Alligator mississippiensis: one gene and its partners. Each later gene encodes a partner of the first gene's protein in a complex. Links are inferred from orthologs where the notes say so. Each region holds a gene or a part of one and is shown on either strand. Other genes may lie near its edges. The genes, in order: AP1G1, AP1S1 and AP1M1.

What was found.
Region 2: the proteins of AP1G1 (region 1) and AP1S1 are in contact, whole or in part, in a crystal structure (PDB 1W63), measured with the Mus musculus proteins. The link is inferred for Alligator mississippiensis from reciprocal best matches to the Homo sapiens genes AP1G1 and AP1S1. Residues at the interface, in NP_001288140.1 of Mus musculus: Leu7, Arg8, Ile11, Arg12, Arg15, Leu54, Tyr55, His57, Met58, Gly60, Tyr61, Lys78, Phe79, Thr80, Arg83, Ile84, Leu87, Met90, Leu91, Asp94, Glu95, Thr115, Phe117, Leu123, Cys124, Gly127, Cys128, Tyr152, Lys155, Lys156; in NP_031483.1 of Mus musculus: Met1, Leu14, Arg15, Leu16, Gln17, Lys18, Trp19, Leu21, Ala22, Thr23, Asp25, Arg28, Lys29, Arg42, Lys45, Met46, Cys47, Ser48, Phe49, Glu51, Lys56, Gln74, Asp75, Asn76, Glu77, Leu78, Ile79, Leu81, Glu82, Leu83.
Region 3: the proteins of AP1G1 (region 1) and AP1M1 are in contact, whole or in part, in a cryo-EM structure (PDB 7R4H), measured with the Mus musculus proteins. The link is inferred for Alligator mississippiensis from reciprocal best matches to the Homo sapiens genes AP1G1 and AP1M1. Residues at the interface, in NP_001288140.1 of Mus musculus: Arg24, Glu25, Gln28, Lys29, Ala32, Arg35, Ser36, Arg39, Glu40, His64, Phe65, Gln67, Leu68, Gln97, Val99; in NP_031482.1 of Mus musculus: Ser289, Asn318, Asp319, Ala320, Asp321, Ser322, Trp334, Pro336, Glu337, Asn338, Ser339, Gly361, Leu362, Pro363, Ser364, Val365, Glu366, Ala367, Glu368.

Annotation. Positions count from the first base shown.
Region 1 is NC_081833.1:77,567,646-77,577,518, forward strand, and holds the start of AP1G1 (AP-1 complex subunit gamma-1), read left to right. Parts: upstream 1-5,539; 5' UTR 5,540-5,657; intron 5,658-5,744; exon of another isoform or gene 5,745-5,848; intron 5,849-9,873. Other genes in the region: ATXN1L (ataxin-1-like), read right to left, coding at 2,797-4,923. UniProt on the Homo sapiens protein: Subunit of clathrin-associated adaptor protein complex 1 that plays a role in protein sorting in the late-Golgi/trans-Golgi network (TGN) and/or endosomes.
Region 2 is NC_081838.1:23,552,740-23,562,320, reverse strand, and holds AP1S1 (AP-1 complex subunit sigma-1A), read left to right. Parts: upstream 1-5,668; 5' UTR 5,669-5,698; coding exon 5,699-5,773; intron 5,774-6,281; coding exon 6,282-6,460; intron 6,461-6,875; coding exon 6,876-6,984; intron 6,985-7,400; coding exon 7,401-7,538; intron 7,539-8,689; coding exon 8,690-8,737; 3' UTR 8,738-9,058; downstream 9,059-9,581. Other genes in the region: SERPINE1 (plasminogen activator inhibitor 1), read left to right, coding at 1,914-2,238, 2,690-2,884, 3,119-3,316, 3,565-3,763, 3,979-4,079, 4,155-4,241, 4,341-4,424, 4,542-4,579. UniProt on the Homo sapiens protein: Subunit of clathrin-associated adaptor protein complex 1 that plays a role in protein sorting in the late-Golgi/trans-Golgi network (TGN) and/or endosomes.
Region 3 is NC_081839.1:225,126-234,218, reverse strand, and holds the start of AP1M1 (AP-1 complex subunit mu-1), read right to left. Parts: upstream 4,264-9,093; 5' UTR 4,199-4,263; coding exon 4,157-4,198; intron 3,232-4,156; exon of another isoform or gene 3,068-3,231; coding exon 2,911-3,067; exon of another isoform or gene 2,529-2,910; coding exon 2,461-2,528; exon of another isoform or gene 2,374-2,460; intron 1-2,373. Other genes in the region: protein FAM32A, read right to left, coding at 5,275-5,343, 7,120-7,173, 7,436-7,574, 7,665-7,741. UniProt on the Homo sapiens protein: Subunit of clathrin-associated adaptor protein complex 1 that plays a role in protein sorting in the trans-Golgi network (TGN) and endosomes.

The DNA of each region.
Region 1 (9,873 bases):
AGCTGCGGCCAGCCCATTCGACAGCCTCTCCCTTGCTACCTCAGACTCCTGCCCTCCGCACACCACACCCAGCTCCCTCTCTCAGAAAGGTGACACGGATGCCTTGCAGCCTGGCCTGAGCCACGGAGAGGAGATCCCACTGCTTGCCAGGCCTCAGCGTCCTTCCTGCTCGGGGCCCTGGTGCTGATGCCATGCACGGGTGGCAGCTGGAACCCACCTTCTGGCTACGGGCCTTGGCTGGGGGAGCAGAGCAGCAGCGAGAAGGGTCACGTCCACTACAGCTTCCTGCAGCTAGTTCTAAGCAGCGCCTCCCCCTAGGCACGGGCAGGCAGCGGGCCACGATGGCAAGGGGCAACTGCACCCACTAGCAGCTGGAAGTGCAGAGGCCACCACCCCCTCTGTCCAGAGCCCTGCCCTGTGAGCAGGGGGCACCAAGCAGAGGAGACAGGGGCCAACATCCAACACCAAGGCCCTCACACTACCAGTGTGGGGGGTAGAGGCATTTTGAGCTCAGAGGCCCTCAGAGGGGTCACCTCTGTGCACAATCAGTCCCTGTGCTCACACCTTGCACACAACCACAAGTCTCTGTCCATACCACTACAGCCATGCCATGGTTACATTCTCCCTTGCTTAGTCCCCTGCCTTAGACTGCCGGAAGCCACAGGCCAACTGCCTACCTGTGACACAGCAGGCCTACAAGCTGCAAGCAGAACAGGAGGGACAATGTTTAGGCACAAGCTGGGCACCTGGACCAAATGGTGCAGTACAGGGCAGGCGGCTACCTCTTTGCTGCTGCTGCCCAGGGGACAGGAAGCTCAGGCAAGGTCACTGAGGCTTTAGACCATGGGATTACAAGGACGGGTGGCCTGACCTGGGAAGCTGCAGAGTCAGCACCTGTGCCTGGGCAAGGCCACAGGCATGAAGGCTTGCGATACTCTCCTGATTTTAGGACCAATACGGCAGGGAATGTGACTGCTCGCCTGGGGAGAGGCGGGTGCTGATACTTTGGAAACAACAGAAACCGTGTCCAGGAGTGTTTTGGGGCCCTAGGGCTGGAGGCAGGAGACAGGCATGTGGGAGGGGACATGCTCTGGGCACTGGGCTCCCGTGTACTGTAGAAGCACCAGGGCCAGCTCAGTCTGAGGCACATCAAGGGGGATTTGAGTGAATATTAACAAGCTCCCAGGAACAGCTGCAACCAGTGTTGCAAAACAACATGGGACAGATCAGAGGTTCAGGGGGTGCTGAGCGCCCTGCCCAGGCAGGGTGGTGCCTCCAAGCAGGAGACAAGCCCAGGGTTGAAAACAACAGAGTGGTAACAGAACTAGGGTGAGAGCAGCAGAATCCCAGCAAGGGGATCAGGGCATGTGCCCTCCAAGAGACACCCACCCTCAGCAGCAGGATCTGGACACAGCTGACAACCTGAACACCACACAATGTCTACTCCTGCACAGACAATGCCTGGGTCTTGTCCTTTCTTGACCCCTACACCCATGCCATCCGAGGCAGCTCCATGCAAGGCTGCCGGCATGACTGAGTGCTGCCCGTACAGCGTTATCCCTGAATGATGCCTCAGCTTCAGCCCATGTCCACCTTCCCCATGACTGGTCTCCATTCTGTGGGGTGGCTCGGCACTGGCACCCAGGGAAGAAGCCCCAGCACAGCCGGCACAAAGACACCTATGACATGGCCCAAGGGGTGGCAACGCTACTCTGAACACTCCTGAATGACTGGTGGCAGTGAATGCCTGGCCTAGACGTGGCTCTTCCATGTCTGTAACTTTTCTGGGGACTTCGCCTGGAGGGGGCGAGCAGCCACCGGGCAGACTTCCCTCGGCTGCAGTTTCGTGCTCCCCAGTGGAAGGACAGGTTCTCACGCTCGCTGCTGCTCCAGCTGCCCAGAAGCCTGCCTGCAGCTGAGCCCAGGAATGGGACATCTGAGCCAGAGGGATTTTTCCTTGGAAGCAAGCACATGCGAAGGGAGGTTTGAAATGCAGCCTCGCCGGCTCCTTTGCTATAGCACCTGCCACTAGGAAACACAACCATCGGACTCAGATTCGGTGGCAAGTAATTGCGTTTGGCGTTATCACAGGAACTACCAATACCTCCTGCCACAGCACAGCTGCCTGAGGCCCCTACTTGCCCACACCCCACTCCCCAACCTGGCCCTCCCTCTCTGGTTTCCTTCAACGCTTGCAGGGGTTTTGCTAGCAGAAAGTCCCATGGGACTGAGTGGAGGAGACATGTCAGGGAGAGGCTGTCGGAGAAACACCTGCCCCCACCCCAAGAGCTCAACATGTGACGAAGTGTCCTTTTAAAGTGCATGTGTGAAAAGTGGGGAGGCTGGGAGCGGTGCCCCTGGCCCCCGCAGGGACCCAGCTCCCCACCACCATAGAGAGGAACAAACACTTCCGATACTGTATCTGCTACCTTGGGCTGTGGCTTCCTGGGTCCGCCCCTCCCGCCCCCACCCCCGAGTGCTCCATCCCCGGCCTGCAGGACGCTCAGGCACTCAGGGGCGTGCGAGAGCCCCGAGCTCTGGAATGCTTGTGGCCACACAGCCATGACCACATCCCCCATCCTCCATCCCTAACTCGCCTGTTGCTGCTGCTCCCTGAGGCACTGGAGCCCTCTGGATTCCAGGAGAGGATCTGATCAGTGACTGAACAGGAACCGAACCAGCTCTGCAGGCAGACAGCAGCCTCGCCGGTCAACCCGTCGCTCAGTCTGTGCAAAATCTCCACCTGACAAAGGGGGGCTCAGCCAGGGGCATGACCCAGGTGAGGGCCTCGCAGCGTTACTTCCCGGCATTCGAGCGCCCTTCAATGGACAGCTTCACTTCCTGGGGGATGAAGGAGGGACGGAGCAGGGATGGCCGGGGCTCCTCCCCCTGCGTGGTACATCTTTGGAAGTTGGGGGCTGTCCAGCTGTGCTGGCCACCCGGCTCAGGCTGGGAGGGCTCCGCACAGGCAGCGTGGGCAGCGCTGTCCCTTTCTGCCTGGCTCTTCCTCTCACTGTGCAGAGGTGCAGGGGGGTGCTCTCTGGACCCCTGCACCATTCTGTCAGCTCGCTCCCTGGCAGGCACAAGCTGGGTCGCGGGAGGGCAGGTCGCCTGAGAAGCAGAGTTGCCATTCATGTTCTGCAAGCTGATGGAGATGCAGACATCCCCCACCTGCAGCCTGTGGCAGGGCAGGGCGAAGAGCTGGGCAGTCCGCGCCGGGCTGCAGGAGGACCAGCCCTGGCCATACACGAAGAAGGGGTGCTCTGGGGGCACGTCGATGCTCACTTTGCTCTGCTGCTCCCCCACTACAAAATGCAGCATGACAAACCCAGGCCATTGGCTCTCCTGGATATCAACGACTGTGCTGGAGTCGATCTTCAGGCCCCCGCTCACCTCTGCACTGCGCACAAAGTCCTGGGTCTGCAGATCTTCCACCCGCTTCAGCTCTCCGGTGGCCAGTTGGATGATGGCTCCTTTCATGAAATGGGAAGGCAGATGGGAGGAGCTGGGGGGCTGCACCGGGCCCAAATCCTTGTCCAGCATGTTCCCCCGGGCCAGTGTGTTGGGACTCTGCCGTATCAGGGTCTCTGAGGAGGAAGACCTGATGGGCTCGGACCCGACCGGCACTAAAACCGGCTTGCCGTTGGCTATCGCCATTCCTTTGGTTAGCTGTCTGTATCTGGCTGGCTCCTCGGGGGACATTGCATATGGGCTCCTGGGCTGGCTCTTCTCTGCAGCAGCAGCAGCCGCCTCCATGGGACTCCTCCACAAGTCCCCAGACTCCCCTTGCTGATCAGGGATGTTATGGCAAAGGTTTAAAGGGCTCAGGCCATCCTTCTTCTGGGCTGCCAGAATCGGGTAATCCTGAGAGGCCAACACCCCAACCACCCTCTGTACCTCCAGGTCAGTATCCGGGGTGCTTCTGTGAGCTGGCACAGAGACCTCTGCTCTCAGAGTCTGGTAACCTGAAAGGAACTGTCCATCCAACACGCACTCCACGGCCGCCCCACACAGCTGGGCTTCGGCTTTGCTGCTGGCACAGTCCACAGCCTCGCCAGTCCTCCGCACCACGTGATGCTCTAGATGTCTCTGCCCGCCATTGGCAGACGCTGCGTCCGAATTCAGCTGATTCTCTTGCGCGGGAGGATCCGGGCTTCCAGCGGCAGCAGACATCTCGTACGCAGAGAAGCCCGGGGGCAGCCGGGACATGTGGTAATAAACAGGAAGCCTCCCCTGGGCTATGTCCAAAGGCTGGGCGCCAGCATGGTGCTGGACCTGGCTGGAGGGGGAGAGGGCAGAGGCAGGCTTGCTGAAGGCGTGGGCGGGAGAGGTAGTCGGAGGGGAGGCGGCGGCAGCGGCGGCTTCCTCGGTCAGCAGAGAGGTGTATGGCACGAAGTGGGGCACGTGCGAGGCGCCCAGGCCGGCGGAGGGCGAGAGCAGGGGGCCGGGCAGGAAGCCGGGCGGCACGGCGTAGGGCACGGTGTAGTGCGGGCCCACGAGCTGCAGCGAGGCGGGCGGCAGCTGGGCGTAGTGCAGCGGCGGGTAGGGCACGCCTGCGTGCGGCAGCAGCGACGAGGCCACGCCGAAGGCGGGCGGCAGTGGGCTCATGCTCACCACGGGCGGCGGGAAGGCGGCGGGCGGCACGGCCACCTTGTACAGCAGCCCGTACGGCTCCAGCGGCGGCCCCGCCTCGGCCCCCGGCCCCGGCCCCGCGCCCTCCCCGGCCGGCCCGTAGCGCGAGGGCGGCGGGGGCGGCGCGGGGCTGCGCGCGGCCGCGCCCCGGGCCCAGGCGGGGCCGTCGCCGGGCGGCGCGTGGTTGGCGGCGCCGAGGGGCGGGCGCGCCGCGTCGTGGCTGGCGGCGCCGGGCAGGTCGCGCTTCTTGGGGGGCAGGCACTCCTGGCTCCGCTCGTGCGCCGGCCTCATGCTGCCGCCGGCCCGCGGGCCCCGCCGCTCCGCGCCGCCGCCTGCGCCTCACCTGCGGGGGGAGGGCGGAGGACAGCGTCAGCGCCGCCGCCGCCGAGCCCCCCGGCCCCGGCCCCGACCCCGCTCCCCTCCCCGCCACTCACCCGCCATCGCCCGGCGCCGCCGCCCCGGCCCCCATCGGCCCGGCCCGGCCCGGCCCGACCCGACCCGACCCCTCCCCGCGGCGCGGCGCGCGGCGATGACGTGTAGGCCGCGCGCCGGAAGCGCCTCACCCCGCGGGGGCTGGGGCGCACGGGAATGACGTTTGGCTCTGTGTTGCCATGGCTACCGGGCACCGCCCGGGCCCGGGCCGGCCTGTCGAGCACATCACACAGCGCGCGGCGGCCCGAGCGGGCTCCGCGCAGCGCCGGTGCCCTGGGCTCGTGCCACCTGGCCTAGGCCCGCAGCGCCGCACGGGCTGTCCCGAGGCCGCGGGCAAGGCACGGGGCGCGACGGAAGTGGGCGGCGGGCGACAGGAAGGGGCGGGGCCGGCTGGCGGGCGGAACCTTGGCGCGGGGCCGGGGGGCCCGATCGGACGGGTACAGCCGCGACACCCACGGCCATCAGCGCCTGACGTCATCACTGCCTGCCACGGCGCTGCGCAGCCTCCGCGCACAAGAGAACGCGGCGCTTCCGCCGGGAAAAGGAGTCCCCGGCCCGGCCCTCGCCCGCGCTACGCGCCCGCCGCGCCCGAGGTGAGTGCGCGGGGCGGCCGCGGCGGCTGCGGCGGCGTCCCCAGGGGCGAGCAGGGGCGGGTGCCGAGCGGGCGCCGCCCGAGGGCGCGGATCCCTCCGCCTGCCGTAGCGGTGCTGAGGCCGCCGCGCCGCCATTTTGAACGCCTGGCCCTGCCGCCGCCTCGTCCGCTGCAGGCGCCCGGCCCGGCCCGGTGAGTGCGGCCCCCCCGCCCCGAGCCCCGGTGTTCGCCCCGCCCCGCCCCGTCTCGATCTTCTGCCCCGCCCCGTCCCGCCGCGGCCCCCGCCGGCCCTGCTCTGCTTGGCAGCCGCGCCCGCCTTCCCCGTCCCGTCCTCGGCTTTCCCAGCGCCTCGTGTGCTTCTGCTGCCTTCCCTGTCCCCTCCCGGACAGGTTTTCCCGGCACCAGCAGGAAGCGGACGAAGGTTTTACACGTCTGTCTCGGGGGCGATAGGTATTTCTTCTCGCAGGGGTCCCTCCGGACTGGAGGGTGCCGGCCGCAGCGGGCCATGCGTTCGCCCCGGGGCTCGCATGCGGCGTGCGCGTCCCGCTCCGGCCCGCGCGCGGCGGTCTGCAGGCCGACTGTTCCCGAACAGGCGATTTTGCGCGTGCAGACGGGCGCCTGCGACACGTCCCGAGGGGCGAAGCCGTGGGGCCGCTCGTGTCGCGTTGGCCGGCCGCGGCGAGGGATCCTGGGATGGTGGCACCGTCCCCTCGAGCTTGTCCAGCTCCGCGCGCGTTACAGCGACTGCCGCTTCCTGTTTCGGCTTGCGTTCACTGGCAGGGGAAAAGCCTCTTCGCCGCCGGCAGCGAGCGTGTTTTTCCTGGAGACCGGCTCCGACGTGGCGGCGCTGGTTGTAGCCGTTGTGCGACGCGCGAGGCAGCGGTGTGGAAACGGGTCTCCCGGGGGTGCTGGCGACTTGGGGTGTATGCTTCTTTGCTTACTCCCCGACTTGGCGGTGCCTCTTCCTCCGTGGCGCCCCGGGCCCCAGCACTGCAGCTCACAGCAGTAGAGCAGTTACAGATTTCACTTTTCTATTTAATATATTGCTGCAAAATAACTTGCTTTCTTTTTTGGCTGTGGTGTGTTTCACACTTGGTTTCCCTGGCTTCAGCATCTGTTTTCTCTTGCTACACTGGAAGCTTATTTTATCTGTTTTCAGGGCCTGTTCCTTTCCCCCTGTTGTGTGCACGGTCTTTCTCTCTCTCTCTCTCTCTGCCTGTCTCGCTTCTCGTTATCTGCTTGCATCTGCTCTCTGTGGGGGATTCACTTTACCAGACACCTGAGAGTTCAACTGAGGTGAGAAGTTTTGCTCTCCCAAGTATGAGCAGCATGGACCCCCTCTGCTTCTCCTTTAGGCTGGGAGTTCACCTTCCTACATGGGTGTGATTCCTGGATCTCACATGTATATTCCTCCTGCTAGGTATCTGGTAGGTTTGAGACCTCATCCTAGGATGTACAAGGGAGAAAATGAGCACTTTGCTCTGGCCCTAACAAGAGGCTGGTGGCTGCTGTGGGAATGACTTCTCTGCTAGCCTGTCCTTGTTCTGAACTCCTCTTGGTTTGGAGGGTTTTCTGCTCCAGTGAACAAAGCCAGTGTTGCCTTTCTGCCTACGCCAGCCAAACGGCAAGAGAAGGCAGTCTGATTTTGGAGAGCGCCCTGCACAGGGTCCTGCATAACATCACAGACAGCGAGGGAGGCTGGGAACTTTTCACACGACTCCTTGGCAAAGCTCGGGAGAGCAGCCGGGCCCTAGAGATGGTAGCAGACTTAGGCAGGTGCTGCACTGATTCTTCATGTTTTAGATTTGGAAAGTCACTCTGGACCTTAAGTGGTAGAAGCTTCTTAACACATTTTTGGCACTTAGCAAGGAAAACTTACGTTCCCTTTGAGAGTGGCTGTTTAAGCCCTCTCTGAGGTTTTGGTGATTTCCATAGCCTGAAACTGACCTTCGGTTTCTTACCGTGCTAGGAATAGGCAAACTTGTTTGGAGTGGCCTATTTTAGATCTTTCTCTGATGCTTTCTAGGGCAAAGTGTCTGCTCTACTGTTGTGTCGGCAGCTACATTATTGGATTAGGATTCTTGGTGCTGGTAATTGCAGGACATGTAGCAAATCAAGCTGAGGCTGGTAAGTGGTGAAGAGTCATGGTCACCTGATGAATGTGCCAGACAGTTGTGCTTGAGTTGCTTGTGGGCCCCTCCTTGTGTTACAGGTGGCAGTAATTGGCTCCATGCTTGTAGTTTGGCAGAGGCCACAAGTTGAATGGACTGGGGAAGTTGAAGGCTACATCTGCTCTGAAGGTCATGCTTCCTGGGCTTTGGCTGAGGTCACCTGACAGCATGCAGTGATGCTGCCTAAGCAGTGCACCGTGAGCCCCAGGGTTTCCATCTGGCCTTGAAAAAGGGTTCTTCTCTGCTGGGCTAGAGCAGCAGCCCAGAGGTTCTGGGGTCTGCTCTGGAGCTGAAAAGATGCATCTGTATATCGGAAACCAGAGCTGAGTGTTGATCGTATTAGCAGGAACAGAGGAGAACAGTAAAGGGCAGCATGGTTGTGGTGACTGAGGTGTGGGTACTCTGGCGTTGTAATCCTGCCTGTCTCACTGATTTATGGTGTGGCCTTGGTGATCTCCCTCCGCTCTCCATTGCTTAGCTTCTAAAGGGGTAATATTCACTTGTTCAGCCAACCTGTCCTGATGCAGACACTTGAGCCTTATGCACAGTAAAGATCATAGAGAACAATATTGGTTCCCCCCCTCCACTTTTGGGCCACCTGGAATTGTTTTATCTTCAGAAGACTCTTGCTGCTTCAATTTTTTTTAATGCTGCTGGAGAAGAGTGCTGCTTCCTTTGTGAGGGTGTTAAAGGCCTGGCTTGCAAGAATGCTGTCTTGATATTTAAACTCTCTTCCTGTCCGATACCTTTGTGTAGCCCAAAGCAATATTGACCCTTTTTATTTCCATATTGCTTTCAAACTCCTGTTTCTTTTCTATCTCTCTGGTCTCTTGCTGTTACCACTTCACCATTCAATTTAAATATTTTTTTTTACCTTTCCCAAGGGAGACTAGCTTCTCTGTTTCCAGGTTGAATTTCATGCTGTTGTTTCTGATAACTTTTCTTACTTCTCAGTCCCTTCTTATTTAATTTGCCATTCTGCATGGCCTCCCACCTTTGTTTGTGGTTTACCCTTTGGGGATGAATGTTATGGAAAATGAAGTGAAACGCTGGTGTCTGAAGCGCTCCAGTGGGCTGTCCTCGGGACCTGATATGCTTCTGTTCACAATTATGTTCTTGCCCTGTCTGGATCCATGTGTTACTGCTGCTGTTCAAGCCCATTTGAATTTTTCAGTAGCATTTAGGAAGAAAACTGTCTGTGCTCTCTTACTTCAGTCTAGCCATATTCCACATGGCCCTTTCCTTTAACCCACAAAGGGCTTGATCCTCTGCCATTGAAGCAAATTGGGGAGTTCTAGCATTGGCTTTGAGCTGGCTCTGGCCTGATTCTTCTTGGTGTGAGGAGTGCAGTGTGTTGTATGTAGATCTGAGTGGGGTGATTTACATCACTTGACTTTTAAAATTCATCACTGATTTAAATCATGGTGAGATAATTGATCTTTAGATTTTTTTTTTTAATCTAAAATCTATAATGGACTAAATCATAGAGGCTTTCTTCAGGAGATGCCTGTACTAATAGAGTAATGTGCTTGAATCTGACCAAATTGCTATATGCAAAGAACAAAAACAAAAAAACCCCAACCTCTGCCCCTCTTCAAAAGCTCTAAAAACTAAGCCCCAATCCTCTAAACACTTAAACTGATATGTAGCTTTATACCTATTAACAAGTCCACTGACTTCAGTGCGACTGTTCATGTTCTTAGTGTTTGCAACATTAGAGTAACTCTTATTAAAGACTTTTTAGTGACAAAACCTCTGTCCCTTCCAGACAGGATTGCTTTAGTTAAGTTGTATACAGTTTCCTTAAGTTATTGTGAACTTTTTGTGTATACATAGCTTAACATTTCTCAAAACACCAAAGAGTGAGATTTTTCAAAATCTCCTGAATGACTTAGAAGCATGAGTTCTTTTGTCTTCAGATTGCAACCCTTGCTAGAAGAGTAGCTTGATTTGGTGCATTTCATTGTTCCTGATTTGTGGAGGTTTGGTGCAATTGGAACCTGGTCTTAGTTGCACATATAACACAAGCTGTTTGTTTATCAGTTT
Region 2 (9,581 bases), on another chromosome or scaffold:
CCTCCGTCCATCCCTCTGTTCACCCACCAATCCATGCATCCATCTACCTGTGCCCCCTTCCATCCGCCTGCCTTCCTGACTGCTCATCCACCCCCACGTGCCCATGTGTCCATCCACCATCCATCTATTGATCCATCCATCCGTCTCTCTACCTGTCCATCCATGTATCCATCTGCTCAACCACTGATCCATCCATCTGCCCATCCAGCCAGCCAGCTACTTACCTACCTACCTCTACATCTATATACCTATCTACCTATCCCTACACATCGACCTACTTAACTTACACCCGTCCACCCATGCATCTCTCTCTCTTTATTTGCATAATACTGCCGTGCCCCGCCCCCCTCCACCCACCCCCACGTGGGCGGAGCGGAGCGGAGCGGCTCCTGCTGGCGGGACTTGGCCACTGCAGCCCGGACTGGGGGGGGGGGGGGGGGGGGGGGGGCATGCGTGTGTGTTCGTGGCAGGCGGAGTGTGTTCGTCTGTGGATCCATGTGCAGAGAGCGTGTGTGTGTGTGTGTGTGTGTCCGGCCGTGGCGGGGGAGGGGGAGCACGGAGAGCAGCATGTCCCCCCCCAGCCCGCGGGTCCACCCAGACCCCCAGCACCAGGAGGGGAAGCCCCCGCCCAGGCCGGGATGTGCAGGCGCCGCTGACTCACCCCCCCCGGCAGAGACCCAGGCATCCGGGACTGCCTCCTCTGTGGCAGACACGTGGGGGGGGGCACACGTGGGCACACACGTGCGCCAGGGTGGGGGGAACCAGGACACCTGGGTCTCGTGTGTGTGTGTGTGTGTGTGTGTGTGTGTGTGTGTGTCCCTAGTAACCTCACTCCGCTTCCCCCGCCCGGCCCCGCCGCGAGTCTCTGCGCTGTCTCCCCGGCTTCCCGTCACACAGACAGACACACACGTGTGTGTGTGTGTGTGTGTGTGTGTGTGTGGCCGCGGCCGCGTAACGGTGACGAGCCGTCCCGGTGTCTGGGCGCAGGTCCCGATCCTGCCCGGAAGCCGGGCCCGTCCCACTGCGGGGCTGGAATCCGCCCCCTCGGCCCGGACGCCTGGGATCCCCGCGGGGGCGGGGGCGCATGCCGGGGGGATCCGTCATGGGGGCGGGGCCGTGAGTCAGCGCCCCCCAGGTCCCGGCCACTGCGGGGGGGCGGGGGGGCAGGACGCCTGGGTTCTTCCCCCCGACCCCGCTCCCCCCTCCGTGACGTCATGGGCCCGCGGGGGGGCGGGGGAAACCCCGGGCGCTATTTGGGGCCGAGGCCCCGCCCGGACGCCTGGGTTCCCTGCCCGGGGGGAAGAGACTCCCGCCCCCCCGCCCGCTAATCCCCTTCTCCCAGGGGGCAACCCAGGCGTCCTGGACCCCGCCGCAGAGCCCTGCGTCCGGACCGGGACCTCCCTACACCGGTGCCCAGGCGGCCGCGACCGCCCCTACAGGGAACTCCGGGGCCCCCGACCCCCCGTCCACGGAACCCGGGCGGGGCGGGCGGGGCGGGCGGGGGCGGCGGTGTCTGGAGCCGCTTCCTGCCCGCGGGCCATAAAGGCAGCGGCGGCGGAGAGCGCGATCCCGATCCCGATCCCGGACCCACTCCGACTCCACGTGACAAGTGAGGGGCCTGGGGCCCGGCGCCTGGGTCATCTGGGGGGGACAAGGGGGCTGGGGCCCGGATGCCTGGGTCATCTGGGGGGGACAAGGGGGCTGAGGCGCGGCGCCTGGGTCATCTGGGGGGGACAAGGGGGCTGGGGCGCAGTGCCTGGGTCATCTGGGGGGGACAAGGGGGCTGGGGCGCAGTGCCTGGGTCATCTGGGGGGGACAAGGGGGCTGGGGCCCGGATGCCTGGGTTCTCTGTGCTCTGGGGTGGGTCTGACCTCCCAGACACCTGGGTCCCACTGGCTTCTCTCTTCCCCAGGATGCAGTGCAGCCTGTGGGCTCTGGTTTGGGGGGCACTGGCACTGGTGGGTGCCCCAGGGCCCGCAGACCCTCTGGTCCTGGCGCTGGATGCGGCCCCCAAGCCAGATGTGGCCCCTGTGCCGGACACAGCACTGGACGTGGCCCACGTGGCGGCGCTGGACACGGCGCTGGGCTTGCGGCTGTTCCAGGCCGTGGTAGCTGCAGCCCCTGGCAATGCGGCACTGTCGCCCACTGGTGCCGCCACCCTCCTGCGTGCCCTGCAGCTCGTGGCCCGTGGGCCAGGCCAGGCCCAGCTCCGCACTGCCGCTGGATATGCCCCTCATGGTATGAGTTGTTACCCCCGGCCTGAGCTCCCCACAGAGCCCAGTTATCTGTCCCAGGGCCCACCCCAGAGCCAGCCGCATCTAGAACCTGTTCTACCCAGGCCTTGATGGCCCACTCCAGAGCCAGCCACATCCCAGCTTCATTATCACTGGCGTTGGCGCTGCATCCAGGCTCTATTTTACCCAGCCCCTGATGCCCCACCCCAGAGTCAGCTGCACTGGAGAGCCCTGTTATACCAAGACATCAACGTCCACCCCAGAGCCAGGTGCATCCCTGCCCTGTTCTAGCTAGCCCCTGATGCTTCACCCTACAGCCAACTGCATAGGGGGGTGTCCTGTGATAACCAGCCAGTGTCCCACCCCAGAGCCAGCTGCATCCTGCCCGTTTTACATAGCCTTAAGCCCCCATCCCCCCAGAGCCAGCCGCCACTAATCTCTCTCCCTCTCTGCAGAGCCGGGTGCGGGGCAGCTGGAGGTGGCACTGGGGGGCGCAGGGGTGGCACTGGCTGCCGGCATCTTTGTGCAGCATGACCTACCGCTGGTGCCTAGCACCACTGTCCTCGCACCCCTGCTACAGCGCGTCGACTTCCGCCACCCCGCAAGTGCCCGGCGCGCCATCAATGCCTGGGCCCGCACCCACACCCATGGTGAGCTGCATGCCTGGGACCTGGTGGGGGGTGGATACCTAGGTCTCCTGGGTGGGGGCAGGGGTGGATGCCTGGGTCCCCTGGATTGGGAGGGTCCTGGACACCTGAGTTCCTTTTGGGTGGGGGCCATGGGTTGCAGCCCGGACACCAGGGTTCTCTTGGGTCCTGGATGCCTGGGTCCCCTGGGTGGGGGTTCCCAGACACCCGAGTCCCACTGACACTGTGTGCCCACAGGCCGGATCGGGGAGCTGGTGGGCGCGGGGGTGCTGGCGGGGGGGGCTGCGCGCCTGGTGCTGGCCAACACTGTCCACGTGAGCAGTGCCTGGGCCCGGCCCTTTGACCCCCGTGCCACGCGGCCCCGCCCCTTCCATGTGCCACACCGTCCCCCCACACTCGTGCCCACCATGGCGCAGGCGGGGCGCTTCCTCCATGGTGAGTACACTTCCCCCCTACCAGACACCTGGGTTCTCTGTGAGGGAGGGGGGTGAGGATGCCTGGGCTCTTCTTCTGGGGGGGTCCCAGAAACCAGGGTTCTCTCCCTATGTGGGGGGGAGGGGGACTAGGAGCCCTTGGCTCTTTTTTTTGGGGGGGGGGGTGTCCCAGACACCTGGGTTTCCTCCCTATGTGGGGGGGGTCCTGGATGCCTGGGTTCCCTCCCCTTGACCCCTGCTCCTTCGCAGGGGAGTTTACGACTGCTGAGGGGCTGGAGTACGAAGTGGTGGAGCTACCCTACGCCAGGGGGGGGCTGAGCCTGCTCCTGGCGGTGCCCCTGGTCCGCGACGCCCCCCTGGCACCACTTGCCCGCACCCTCAGTGCCTCCCTGATCCGTGCCTGGACCCGGGGCCTGAGCCCCCGGCCCCGCCTGCTGCTGCTGCCCAGGTCTGGGGGGTTCAGGGGCCTGGATGCCTGGGTTCTCTGGGGTGGGAGAGGGCTGTCGGGTGACAGTAGGGGAGCCCGGATGCCTGGCTTCTCTGTAGGGGAGCACAGTAGGGGGTGGGAGCAGGGGGTCTGAGACCCAGGCTCCTGGGTTCCCTAGGAGGGGAGGGGGCTGGATCCCACACCCCTGGGTTCCCTGATCACTCTCCCCCCCACAGATTCTCGCTGGAGGCCGAGTGTGACCTGCGCACCCCCTTGCGCGCTCTGGGCATTCGTGACGTCTTTAACCCCCATGCTGCCGACCTCTCCGGCCTGACCCGTGAGTGACCCCTGACCCCCCCAACCCGCAACCCCTGTCCCCTCCCTGATCTGACCCCCCAACTCTCTTCTGCAGTCGATGAGCCGCTGTTCGTGTCCCAGGCTCTGCACAAGGTCAAGTTTGAGGTCATGGAGGGTGGCACCCAGGCGGCCGCTGGCACGGGTAAGAGCACGGGGGAACCTGGACACCTGGGTTGTTAGTGGGGGGAGATGGGGGTCTCCCCTCCCCAACCCGGCCCCTCTGACCCCTATCTCCCCCCAGCCGCCGTGTTCGTGGCCCGCATGGCACCGCCGGAGCTTGCCCTGGATCGGCCCTTCCTCTTCATCCTGCGGCACAATCCCACTGGTACGGCCCGTGGGACCCAGGCGTCTGGGTGACACCCCTGCCCCCCGGGGACCCCCCTAAATGCTGGGAGGGCACAGCTACAATAACCCCCCTGACTCTGCCTTCCTCTCCCTGCAGGTGCTGTCCTCTTTGTGGGGCAGGTCATAGACCCCTGAGTTTTTTGGGGGGGTCTTTTATGCCCCCCCATAATGGACTGGACCCCCTGGATAACTTGGGGGGTTAAGCCCCCCCACCACCAGGATCGATACCTCTGGTCTCCATGGGTCCGGGGTGCTCCCAGAGGCCTACAGGAACTTTCAGCAGCATCTAGTGTCTCAGCTTGAGTTCAGCAAGAGTCAGCGAAGAGTCGGCAGGCCCTGCTGCCGAGGCTTTGGGTGTGGGATATTTCTAGCAGCACTGGGAGGCTGGGTCGGGCTGTCCTGTCCCCCTTACCACTGCCAGGGCCTCCCCCTTGGCCGCAGGAGATGCTGAGTCAGTGGTCCTGGTGGGACTGGACCCAGCCCCCCGCCCCTGAATCAGGGCTGGGATTGCGTGTATTTATAGGGCCCCGAAGCTGGGCCTGTGGGGGCTTTGCTGCCCCTTTTTGGGGGCATTTGAGAATATTTAATGAATAAAGAGAATTCATTATTAAGGGGTCATTACTGTCAGTGCTGGTCTTGGAAATGGGGTGTTGGGGGTCACGAGATTGGGGGGTCAGAGGGTTTGGGGGATCCCGGGGCTGGGGGGGCAGGGGCTTTGGGACTGGGGGGGGCAGGGGTTTGGGTTCGTGGGGTTTGGGAGGCAGGGCTTAGGGTCAGGGGAGCTGGGAGTTTGGGGGCCACGGGGGGCTGGGGGCAAGGGACTGGGCGTTGCTGGGTCGGGGGTCGTAGGGGTTGGGGTCACGGGGTCGGGGCGGAAGTGCCTTGTGGCCCCCCAGCGGTGTGCCCCCCTTGTTGCCATGGAGATAAGCACCCTGTTGCCATAGAGAAGGCCTTTCCCGTTGCCACGGAAACAAATCACTTTTACTCACCCCCACCCTGTTACCATGGAAACAACCCCCTGATTGCCTCGGTTACCATGGAGAACCGCTCCCCACACACACACACACACACACACACACACACACACACACACACACACACACACACACCCCGTTGCCATGGACACGGCGCTCCCGTCCTTTGCTCTGGGGAGGCCACGCCCCTCCCCGCCCGTTGCTAAGGAGACCGGCCCCGCCCCGCCCCATGCCCCCGTTGCCATGGCGCCGCCCCCCCCGAACCCGGAAGCGGCGGCGCATGCGCGGGGGAGCCGGGCCCGGGCGAGCAACCGGCACCGGCGCCCGCGGCCGCGACGGGCGGGGCGGAGCCATGGTGAGAGGGGCGGGGCCTGCGGCACGTGGCGGGGGGGCCCGGACGCCTGGGCTCGCGGGGAGGGGGTTGACGCTTGGGCTTTCTGTGGGGGGTAGCGGGGGGCTGGTAACCCGGATGTGCGTGCGTGTGTGTGCGTGTCCGGGGGGGGGCGGACGCCTGGGGTCTTTTCGTGGGGGCTGGCAGCCGCCGCCCGGGGGGGACCTTTGTCCCTGGGCGTTGCCGCCCCAGCCTGCGCGGAGGGGACTTTGACCCTCCCGGGCCTCCGTCTACGTGTGTCTGGAGCAGCCCGGCCCCCGCCCCACCCCAGAGGCCCCAGGCGTCCGGCCCCCCACTCTGTGTCGGGGGCCCAAGGCGAGCCCAGTCGCCCCCATGACCCCTGCCCCCCGGTGATCCCATTCCCTGCCCAGCTGCGACCCCCATGACCCGCCCCAGAGGCAGTTCATGCTGCTGTTTAGCCCCCAGGGCGTGGGGAGACCCTGCCCGTGACCCCCGCGACCTCTGCCCCCAGATGCGGTTCATGCTGCTGTTCAGCCGGCAGGGAAAGCTGCGGCTGCAGAAGTGGTGCGTGGCGGCCGGCGAGCGCGAGCGGCGCAAGATGGTGCGTGAGCTCATGCAGGTGGTGCTGGCACGCAAGCCCAAGATGTGCAGCTTCCTCGAGTGGCGCGACCTCAAGGTCGTCTACAAACGGTGAGCCCGGGGGCCGGGCAGCCAGGGGGCCCAGCCAGGCAGCGGGGCAACCCAGGTGTCCGGGAGCCACGGCCGGGGCAATGGGGAGCCAGGCATCCGGGAGGCCCAGCTTGGGCAGGGGGGCATCTGGGAGACCCTGCCAAGCAGGAGGGGACCCAGGTGCCCAGGAGACCTGGCGCAGGCAGGTGGGAACTCGGGTGTCCTAGAGGCCCTGCCCCTAGCGTGATCCAGACCCCCTCCAACCCAGCCTGGGGGGCGGGCAGCCTAGGCATCCCGGAGACCCAGCGCAGGCAGGGGGGGACCCAGGAGTCTGGGAGCTGCAGCGGGGGCAGGGGGGACACAGGCATCCTGGAGACCCAGCTCCAGGTAGGGGGGACCAGGCATCTGGCCGCGCCACTGACCCGTGTCCACCCAGGTACGCCAGCCTGTACTTCTGTTGCGCCATCGAGGGGCCGGACAATGAGCTGCTGACGCTGGAGCTGATCCACCGCTACGTGGAGCTGCTGGACAAATACTTCGGCAGCGTGAGTCAGACAGGGGTCAGGAGTCAGGGGGGTCAGGATGAGCTTGTGACCCCAGTGCGAACCCAGGCGTCCAGGGGGGTGGGGGTGGATTTAGTGGAGCTCATACCCGGCAGCTCATTAACTCGGCCTACTTAATCCCTGGCTCAGCCCATATCTAATTGGGATTAACGAGGCCTTGGGGCTGAGCCAGCTAATGCAGCCCAAGCTCTGCCCGGTCAGTCCTCTGCAGGATGCCGTGGTTCTCCGGGGGGGGGCAGGGGCCAGACACCTGGGATCTCTAGGAGGGAAGTGGGGTGACAGCAGCGGGAGCTGGGCCCCGGACACCTGGGTTCTGTGGGAGGGAAGGGGGCTGAGAGGTTGGCAGCCCAGATGCCTGGGTCCCCACTGGCCTGACCCTGCCCCCCCCCCACCGGCAGGTGTGCGAGTTGGACATTATCTTCAACTTCGAGAAGGCCTATTTCATCCTGGATGAGTTCCTCATGGGGGGCGAGATCCAGGACACCTCCAAGAAGAGTGTCCTCAAGGCCATAGAGCAGGCTGACCTGCTGCAGGAGGTGAGGCCCCGGCCAGGTCCTGCCACTGCCCTGCAATGTGTAGCTCCGCCCCCTCTGGCCATGCCCCGCCCCCAAGTTAACTTACTGCAGGCGGTGAGACCCCCAGCGAGGCCTCGCCCCCTCTGGCCTGCTGCATGTGCAGCACCCCTCACCCCGGGCTGACCTGCTCCATTAGCTGAGTACCTCAGGCTGACTTGCTATATGTGGTGACCCCCCACCCACTCCCCAAGTCAGGCCTGCTGCCAAGCCCCGCCTCCTGTCCCCCAGGCTGTACCTGCTGCAGGTGAGCCCCTCTAGGCCACCTGTTGTAGGAGGTGAGATACCCCCCCCCCGGCCTCCCCATTAGGTGCAGCCCAGGGATAGGCTGAGAGCAGGGCCCCCTGGCCCACCAATGCTTCCCCCCAGGCTCTCCCATTGCCCCTTCCCAGGGTGCAAGGGTTTGTTGGGGTCCATCCCCCCCAGTATCCCGGCCATGTCGCAGTGCCGGGGGAGGGGAGCCCCCCCCCCCCGCACAGTGCGGGCTCCTGGCGGCTGGCGCAGGGCATGAGTCACCGGCTCTGCAGCACGATGCAGCATGCTCTGCGGGGGCGACTGGCTGAGCTGCTCTCAAAGTTGGGGGGGGAGGGCAGAGAGAATGCTGCTTCCTGACGGACCCCTCCTCCCAGCCCCACACCACCCCTCTGGCCTGGTGCTGTAGGGGTTAACGCCCCCATCCTGTCTCACCCCATTGGGTTGGTGCTGAATAGGTTAATACCCCCCCACCCCCCCTTCTCCAGCTGAGTCTCCCCTCCACTCGGCAATACAGGGGTTTAGGCCTGGGGAGGGCAGTGCCCCAAGGGTTAACACCTCACATGGGGGGGCTCCCCCAGGACCCAGTGCTGCGGGGAATAAGGCACCTGAAGGGTTAATTCCCCCCCACACCACCACCCCCTTCCCAGCATGCATCACTGTTGGCTGGGTGGGGGGCACTGGCAACCTCCTGCTTCCCTTTCGCAGGCTTCTTATGCGGGGAGGGGGCATGACATGTGCGTGGGGGGGATACACACAACTCTGGTGCACGTGCAGATACGTCTGCACATGCCAAAGCTGGGGGGGGGGGGGCATGGCACACACATGTACACTGAGCCCGTGTTCCTTCCCCCCCCCCCCAGGAGGATGAATCTCCACGCAGCGTGCTGGAGGAGATGGGGCTGGCGTAGCACCCTTGAGGGTCCAGGGGAGCCCAGTCGACCCTCCTGCCCCGGCTTCAACGAGGTCTCTGGGAACTCTTGTGGGGGGCATTGGGAGAGGGACACAATCTTGTGCCCCCCCTCCACTTGCACGGGCCTGAAGACCCTGGGAATAGTGTGGGGGGACCTCCCCCTGCATGGACTGTGTACACAGGTGTTGAGGGGGCACCCTAATCTGCCCCCCCACACCCAGCACTGGGCAGGCTCTAAGCACACGTGTGCAGCGGCACGTGCGTGTAAACCCCCCTCTTCCCTGTAACGCCCCCCTTTGGAATAAAGTGTGTGCGCAGAGCCCTGCCATGCTTGTGACTTTGGGGCGGGGTGGGGTGGGGAGGCATCTGTGTCCCTCTGCCAGGGTCAGGCCCCATATTTGAGGTGGGGTTTGCAGGGAGGTGGATGTCCAACCCCCCTAGAGCTTCATCCTGAAGCCTCCACTTCTGCCTCAGTTTTCCCCTAGTCATCAGCCCCAATTCCCTCTGCCAATTCCCATGCCTCTGCTAGCTCCTCCCCCACCACCCAAAAGAAAGTCTGGATCAGTGAAACCAGTATAGCCAGAGCCATGTTGGGAGGAATATGTGGGTGCGTGAGCCCCGGTAGGGGCCAGGCCAGGCTGTTGGGGAGCAGGTGGCACTGATGGGACCCTCTTGGGACATGTTTTCAAGGGCTGGCTAATCCCATTTGCCCAGCGGTTTGATCCCAATCCTATCCACACACAGACCTACTCGATCCGGTGTCCCTGGGTGGACGTGTCCCATTCACACACACACGGCTGATGCGGCATCCCCAGGTGGGCCCGTCTGGTTCACACCCACAT
Region 3 (9,093 bases), on another chromosome or scaffold:
GCCTCAGTCTTCTCTTCTTCAGACTGAATAAGCCCAGTTCCCTCAGCCTCATTGCTTAGAATAATGCTTTTTATTTTAACATCTTAAGACAGTTTTTTGTTTGGACATAAATTACTACAGCTTCTGAAAATTCCTGAAATAATGCAATTCTGTCCCACACAGAGCATGTCTCAACTAACAGACCGTCTTCCCCACTGTTCTGCTGCTCTTAATGGTCCCTTACATTTATGCGTTTCAGAAATCTTCAGTAAACCAATGCCGCCGGAACAATGATACAATTACACCACAAAAGCCCTTTTTTCAACCTGCCCACTGAGGAGGAGTGCTTTCCCCAATTCACAGCAACTCTTTTATAGTAGTTGGAATGCTCCAGACTGAATGATGTGCATATTTATTAGTAATAAGAATGCGCCTCCATGCATTTGACTTGGCTAATTAGTTTAACAATCCCTGAAAACTGAAGTGAACCATAACACGCAAGATAGATGCCTAGCTACAAAGGAAAACATTCTTCTTCCAGGAAACATGCCTTTCACCAAGAACCAGCCAACCAGGCACAGAGACTACATTGTCTCATACAACACTGATGAAGCACAATCAGTATCAGCCTTAGTCCAAAGGGACAGATACCTCAAAGTCACATGCCCAAGGAAGGTCAAAGAAATAAAGCTTACTTTTTTCCAAAACACATTCATAGGAAAATGACAAAATTTCCTCTTTAATAAAGTACAAATCCATCTTCCTTGACTTTCATTCTAAGCATCACATTCTTATTTTGACTCTTTCTACTAGCCTTTACTTGCACATGGCATTGATTTTAAAAGTCTCATCTAGAGGTGCACCAATATATTGGTGCCATATTGGATCAGCACCGATAAAAGGAAAATTAACATTATTGGCTAACGGCTCTTTGTGGCTGGTGCAGCCAATAATGTTAACTGATAAATATAATATGCCTTCTGGCAGGGGCCCTCAGACTCTATGTGCATGCACCTGGCCAGGAATGCAGTTAGTGTGGAAAGCAGCACCCTGCAGTAAGTCTGTGGGGGGGGGGGGGGGGAAGGGGTGTGGGGGAGGAAAGGGGCATGGGGGAAGGCAGACTGGGGCTCCCTCGGTGAGGGAGGGAGTAGGGCAGAGGCTGGAGGGGCTGCCCAGCCAGGATGGTGAATGGGACCCTGGGGCCAGGCCAGGAAGTGTGACAGCTGTGGGCCGCTCATCCAGAGGGTGCGTGGGGGAGGAGGTGGTGGCTCCCCACTGCTGCATGCATGCTCAGGCATGGGAGGGCACATGCTCCTCTGGATTTTTATGTGGGGTGGAGGCGGGCTGCCTGCTATGGACTCAGGGCTCTCTGCCCTGCTGCCTTTGCCCAGGGAGCTGTGCGCTAGCCATATGTCCCTTGCCCATCTCCCAGCAGTGGGGGTGGCAAGTTGTGCCTCCTGCTGCCAGGTGGTCAGGGAACACATGGCCAGTGCACAGCTCCTGGGGCAAAGGCAGCAGGGTAGAAAGCCCTGAGCCCACAGCAGCTAGCCCACCTCCACCCTACTCCTAAAAGCATCCCCACACTTAAAAATGATGGCGGCAGCACTTGAACTAAAGCTCATTTAATGAGCTTTAGTTCAAGCACCCCTGCTGCCATTTTTAGGCACCGAGATGCTCATCCCCTGAATGAGCTGCCTGCAGCTCCATCCTGCTCACTGCCCCAGCCCCAGGGTCCCATTCATTGCCCTGCTTGGGCAGTGTTTCCAGCCCCAGCCTCTACCCTGCTGCCTCCCACACTGTGGGGGTTTTGATCTGCCCCAACCCCTTCCTTCCACCATGTCCCTTTCCCTCCACAGACTTACCTGTCGGGAGCTGCTCTTGACACTGCCCAGCTGTGTTCCTGGAAATCGGTTATTGGATCGGTATCAGCCGATATGCCTCTTGAATAATCCCCTATTGGTACCGGCCAAGAAAGTCTTTATCGGTGCACCCCTAGTCACATCCATATTTTCAAGGCTGACTGCAAGTAATTGTGCAACAATATTCCTGTATCTCCCACTTTTGGTTTCCTCTACAGTAACTGTTATGTTTGTTTCCTTCCCTGTTCCTGCCCCTTATATCCTTTTTCAGCTCACCATGCCACTACATTTTTCTAATCTTTCCAATGCTAGTTGTGCATACAAAGCAGTTGTCCCAAAGATGACCTTTCCTTTTGGGCTTCCTATTTTCCTTTCTGGGTATCTTTTAGATTATATGCTCTTTGAAATGAGGAAGGTATTGATTTTTGTTTTTGTCAAAGCCCTTCTGATGTGCAATAATAAAATATTAGTAGTTAATGCAAAAGGATCACCAAAATATAACCATAGCATAATTAGATGTACTATTTCTACGCAGCAGTAAGAATTCAAAGACCTCTAAAGCTGTAAACAACAATATGACTTCCCTGAAAGAACAATAGTACTTTATCAATTGTGTACTCACTTGAACCACCTTATAGAGGAATGAAAACACCAGAGAGACACAAGCATTCTTCTTAGAAGTTGCAACAACTGAAAAAAGTAAGTTTAGGAATGTTTGTTCAAAGTTCCCATTTTTTTAATTTTATTTTTAAATCCCTTTTCAAAAACGTTTACTAAGGCACTGTAGCTGACCCAAAAACTCAGGAAACCATTCATTAGGTATGCCATTTCATTTCTAAATGCTGAGCTACTGAAAAGCAAAGACAGGTAAGCATTGAGAAAATACTGGTTGCACTGGCACTTAAACATATATATTTTTGGTTCATAGGGTATTTAATGGGAATTTGACCTTAACTGTTTTTTATCTCTGCAAAACCTTCCCCCCCTCTCCCCCGCCATGCTGACTTCCATTGTGAAAATTCACACGGTCAACATTTCCACCCTATTAAGTAGCCTATACTCCAAAGGATACGATATAAATTGTTATGTTTAATCCACATAAAACGAACTCCTCCATGAGCTAGAATGGGGGAAAGTGTTCCTTCTTCTTCCTTTTCCATAAGGATCGGCATAAAATGCTCAACCTCTGACATATCGACATCTCCACGGTAATTTCGACAGATGAGGACCTGCAATGGATGAGTACAATAGAGAACCAAATGGACAACACACCTGAAGTGGTCATCTGAATAACATACATGACCTTTGGAAATGGAGGTCAACTAATTTGAGTGACTAAAATTGATACTTGTATGGTGGAACCACAAACCACTTGGTTATTTAAATTACAAAATGCTTGTGGAAATCTTTTATTTACAACACACTGTATTTGATACCAAGACAAGATTTTTTTCCCATTTAACATGGGGAAAAAAACCCTTATCTTGGGATCAACTATTGTGAGGGGGAGGCATGGAGGGAGAAGAGTAGGCAGCTGCTGTGGCTGCAACCCTGACTGGAGGTTGGGCAGAGCTGCAGCTGCTGTCTTCCCCCCCAATCGCCTTTGCTGTGGCAAGCTGTCCCCACTCCAGTCTGGGACGCCACGCATGGCCACGGCGCTCTTGCCCCAGGATGGAGCAGGGGCAGCCCTCTGGAGCCAGGGTAAGCAGGGAGGGGTGGCCAGAAGGGAGCAAAGACAGGGCCCCAAGGTGGTGGGAAGTGAGGTGGCGTGCCTGTGGGGAGCCTTTCGCCAGAAGGCGACAGGCACAAAGGGATCAGGATGCAGGGGGCTAAGGGTGGTGGGGGTGAACGACCGGCAGCAGGAGGCAAGCTGCTCCAGTCCACCCCCGCTGGCTGCCCCCCCCCCCATCTGCTGCTGCAGCTGGGTGGGTGGGGGAACAAGTTTGGGGCGACTCTCCAATTAGATTGTATACATGGACCGAGAAGTGTTGCACCGACAGAACGGCACTGCTCCGCCGTGAGGAGGGTGTGCGGACGCCTGGCAGCTAGAGACGTGCACAAACCCGCCGTCAGACAGCACAGAGCCTGCGCTGCCGCTCGGCAGAGAAGCGAAACACGCCCCTTGGGACTCAGGGAAGCCTGCGCGCAGCGGAGCGGCTCCCACCGGCCCGTGCTCCTCGGGCAGCGCCGCTGCCAGCCCTCGGGGAGGGGAGGGGAGGGGCGGCCCGAGAGAAGCCGGCCTGTCCTGCGGGCCCCGGGCGGCAGGACATGGGGAGGCGCGGCCGGGCCGCCAGGGAGCCGCCCGCAGCCAGGCCTACCTTCCCCTTCAGGTCCAGCACGTAGACGGCGCTGGCGGACATGCTGCCGGCTCCTGCCCCCCGCGGCCTCGCCCGCGCACTTCCGGCCGGAAGTAGCCCCGCTTCCGCCCCCGCCGGAAGCTGTGAAGCTCGACCCGGCGCGCGGGGCGGGGCCTCGTCCCCTCTTCCGGGGTTGGCGACGCGCGCGCGCCGCCATCGCTGTGAGGTCCTGGGCCGGCCAGCGGGGGCGGTGCCGGTGCCGGGAAGGCTCGGCAAAGAGGCGCCGGGTCAGAGCCTTCCGCTCCGGTGCTCAGTTGTCCCCAGAAAGCCGCGCTGCGTTGTGCTGAGCCGCGGGCGGGCCCTGCCCAGCACAGGCAGCAGACAGCCGAGAGCAGTAACTGAATTCCCACTGCCGCTTCTTCTGTGCCACGTCTTACACGCGCTGTACACGAGCTCGGGGGCCAGCGAGGAAGTCAAAGTGCACAGCAGGATTTGGGGGCTCAGAAAGGGGCACCGTTCACGTGCGAGGGAACAACCCCAACGTGCGTTTACAAGGTGCTCAGAGCTGCATTTATGGTTCCGCTAAAGACGGCAAACACAGGCTAGCAGGTACAGCCTAGCTCAGAGGAAAAGTGCTGTCAAGATCCCCTCCTCATCCCCTACACCAGGTACATTTTTTAAAAATTATTTTAAATGCAGTTTTTATTTGACCTTCTAGAGTTTCTAGAAAAGTTATAAACAGATTACAGGTTTATAGTACCCAGGGAGGAACAATTCAATAAGGTAACTTGTCTGCATCTAAAAAAAGACTGTCAAAAACATTTGTTTCAAAAGAAGGCACTGTCAACCAGTGATCGTTACACCCTACATATGAAATTTCTCCAGAAGTTTTCCTACAAACTCTAAAAAAGGGGACTTCTGCAGATAAATGGAGGATTAGGGCCTTTATTCATTGTTCAGTAAAGGTGGGGGTGTGCTGTACATATTTCTAAACAAGCACTTAAAGAGTACTGCCAGCATGCAAAAGTTTTTTAAAAAATGAATTAGGTATCCAATGCAGAGATCACAGAAATTTACGCTAGGCAAATCCTCCCAATATAAATGCTTCTCATAATCCAGAACCGAGTAAGAAAAGCTATTCATTTAGTCCAGCTGACTTTGGGGATGTCATAGTGTTCAGTCAGAGTATCCAAGTGTCTGTTAAAATCCTAGGAGAGAAAAAAAAAGTGTGTGTCAACTTTCTGGAATATTGAACATGCTTTCTGCCTACTTTAAATTTAGTAATTCCAGATTAAATGAGTTGAAAATTTAGGTCAGTATCCCGTTAGTCAGCATCTTGTACCAGGTGCCACCAAGAAAGGTGCCAAAAAGCTGTACAATAGACAGTTATGCAATGGATAGCCCAGTTGGCTTTTGATCTGAATCATGTGGATTTATATCTCTAACATCCTCTCATTATAAAATGATTAATCCATTTTTTGAAACCCACTGAATTCTAGGCTTTAATTGTATCCTGTGGCTGTTAACCATATGGGTTAGTTACCTTTTAGCAGCTTTCAATTGGTAGCCTTTTAAATTTAACTGAATAATTCTGTGTTCTTGTATTTAAAGACAATACACGATACCAATCAAATTTACCTTTCTTAGCCCACCAGTTTGATGTGTTCCTCTATTATCAACTTTTCTTTCTGTAAAGATTATCCTAATCCATCACATTTCATTACATTCATGCCTCAGTTAGTCTGGTACATATTCCAATATCTGATGGCAAGAACTTTTGGTTCCAAGAGCTTTTGGAAAAACCTGGGAAGCCATGGGTTTCCTTCACAGGCTGGCACAGTTCCAGCCTGCAAGGGGCTGTGGGAAGCAAGACACAGGGTGTCACATGCATGTGTGCGCATAGAAATGCATGCATCAGCTAGTCAGTGTGGTAGAGAGCATCTCCCGCCAGGTACGTCTATGGGGACACAGGCAACAGTCGTGGGGGAAATGTACAGGTGATGCAGAGGCGGAGGGACAGGGCTTCAGCTGGGCCAGACCAACTCTGGGCAGAAGGTGCCTCCCTCCACAGCCCAGCAGGCGGGTCCCAGAGCGAGAGGGAGCGATGCAGTCCCATGGCTGCCAAGGTGAGGCACAACAGCAGCAGAGGCAGAGACTTGTGCCCCCTGCTGCTGCTGGGGAGGCAGGGGGCCTCATCTTGGCAGTGAGGTGCTCTCTCCCATGCTGGGTCCCACCTGCCGGGCTGCATAGGTGGCTCCTGCCCAGAGCTGGTATGGTCAGGCTGCAGCCCTGCACTCTATGCCCTGCTGTGGGCACAGAAATTGGGCAGCACATGCCCACACCCCACCACACTGCCTATACCCACTCCCTCCTTATGCACTGGGGGGCTGGGGGCAACAGATCAGGAGTGAGGTGCACCAGCAAGGCCCGGGGACTGTCATCTCAGTGCTACAAAGCAGTGGAGGGGACAGCCACAGCTGGGCCTACATCTTGTGAGCAAAGGGGGCAGGGGGAATTCAGATGTTCCATGATAAAAAAACAAAATCAAATGCTAAAGTATATAGGTATTTAGAATTTATTTTATGACTGAGGCACTGGTAGGCCTCCAAATTGCTTTAAAAAGTAAATATATCAATAAAACATGATGTTGAACTGATACCATATAGATAGTAGCACTTCATTTTAATCACGGAAAAATGCTGACTGCAGGTTACAACTGGAGAACATTGCCTCTTATCAGAGAAACTGATTTTTAAACAGAAAACCAGGATGCCTGCTAATCACCCACCACTGATTCCTGTTAAAAAAGCAAGCAGAGCCCAGAACATGCAAGTTACAGCTTTCATATTACTTATGGCAAGAGATTTTTCCAGACAAACATATTAGAACAATAACTATTTGAATTGCATATCCTGACAGGTGGATAATTTGGACTAGACAGCAAAGGGAACACACACTGTGAACAAGGCTAATCGTATCCTCACCTCAACTCTTTGTTTGTGGGTCTTGGAAGCCTTCTTCAGGATTCTTTCCATTTGCTGAGAAAGTGAAAACAGACACAGGTCGCTGTCATGCTAGCTCCTTTCACCGCAACAAAACACCTCCCTTTTAACCTGCACTTTATCTTTTCGGGGAAGTAACCTGGGTCAGGGCCGCTGCGAGTGCGCAGCTCCGACTCCCGCAGAGCGCGGACTCGTGCGGGCGGGCCGGGGCTCTGCGGACTCGCCCGTCCACCCACCCACCCGACCCGGGCCCCGCCGCTCGGTGCCGGCAGCAGGAGCCGCCCGGCCCGGCCCGTACCCTCTTCTCTTGCATCTTCTCATAGGCGAGCTGCGCGGGCGTGCGCTTGTCCAGGCCGCGCTTCTTTTCCTCCTCCTGCTTCTTGCTGCTCACGGTTTGGTCCCGGATCTTGCTCTTCTCCTTGTCCTTCCTCTTCTTCCTGCGGGGACAGAGCCAGAGCGGCGGCATGAAAAGTAGCGCGGGAAGCCGGGCGCCCCCGCCGCCCTCCCTCGCCGGAGGAGGTGCTTACCGCCGGGCCGCCGCCGGGGCCTCGCCGCTCGCCTTGAGCCGCAGCGAGCCGCGCTGGACGCCCTCGTACTCCGCCATGGCTCCCCCGAGTTCGCGGCACTTCCGGGTTACGGGTGGAGAGCACTTCCGGGCCGCGCCCGCCAGGCGCGTCGGGATAGGCTGCGCTGCGCGGCGGGGCGGGGCGCCATGGCAACCAGCCCAGCCGGAGTGAGGGAGCGCGCGCGCGGCGCCGGCCGGCGGGAAGCCCGCGGCTCCCGGGACCTGCAACAGCCCCGGGCGCGCAGAGCTCCCCGCGGGGACCGTCCTGGGTGCAGTCCCGGAGAGAGGAGGAGCTGTGGGGCACGGCCAGCCCCCACAGACCCCGTCTGGGCCCTCCAGTGCCCGCCCCGGGCAGGCCGACAGCCCACAGCAGCCACCGCCCTGCGGCTGGCTGCAAGGCAGAGTCAGCTGCAGGGATCCCTGAGAGAGGGCCAGGGACACGGCAGAGACCTGGGGGGAAGTCCTTTCTGACCCGCGGAGGGCCAAGACTTTCCGTGAGTCGCAGCCTTGGCTGCAGCGGCTCTCCGCCTCTGAGGGAAAAATTCCCTCCTGGCCCCATATGGGGCCCAGAAAAGCCCTGAAGCCTGGGCAGTCCCCACAGCAGAGCGCAGGCGTGGCACGCACAGGTCCTCTCCGACCATTGCCCATCAGCCTCGCGGACAGGCTCCAGGTTCCCCAGATGTCTGGTCCGCTGCCTCTGTTTTGACACTGAAGACGTTTTTCCTGACATCCCCATCGAACCCTCTGCTGTAACCGACGGGTCTGTGTCCAACTCTGCACCCAGAGCCAGAGGGCATTTCCCTCTTCTAACAAAGGAAAGTTTCCTATATCCCTCCCTCCCTCCCAGTATGTTTTCAGTTTTATACCTGAAAGGCCGAGAGGGATCAGAGTATCAAGATAACGCCTAGTTAACACTGTTAAAACCAACAGTGGGGCAAATTCTTCTCAAAATTATGCCCACCAGATAAATATTATAAATTGTTAAATAACGGGTGTATAATTTACACTTTTCCATTTTAGCAAACATGTCATAAATATATTGAAGACATGATCCTTGGTTTTCATGGGGAAATGAGATAGTTGCATTTATTTTGTTGGTTTAACTTAATTATAAATTAGCAATTATGACTCTGCAACAATTAATTTCAAATGCTCTTTAATGGAGACAATCAAAACTCTAATTACTAGCACATATGGGGTTGATTTTGAGGGGGGGGGGTTGGTTTTGTTTACAGTGGCTTTTAAAAAGAAAAAGACTTTGGACTTTAGGGATGGTCCTGCTTTGAGCAGGGGGTCAGACTAGACGGCCTCCTGACGTGCCTTCCAACCCTAAATTTCTATGATTCAATGATACTGTAATCCTTTGTTAGGGTTCCTGCTGACGCTGACTA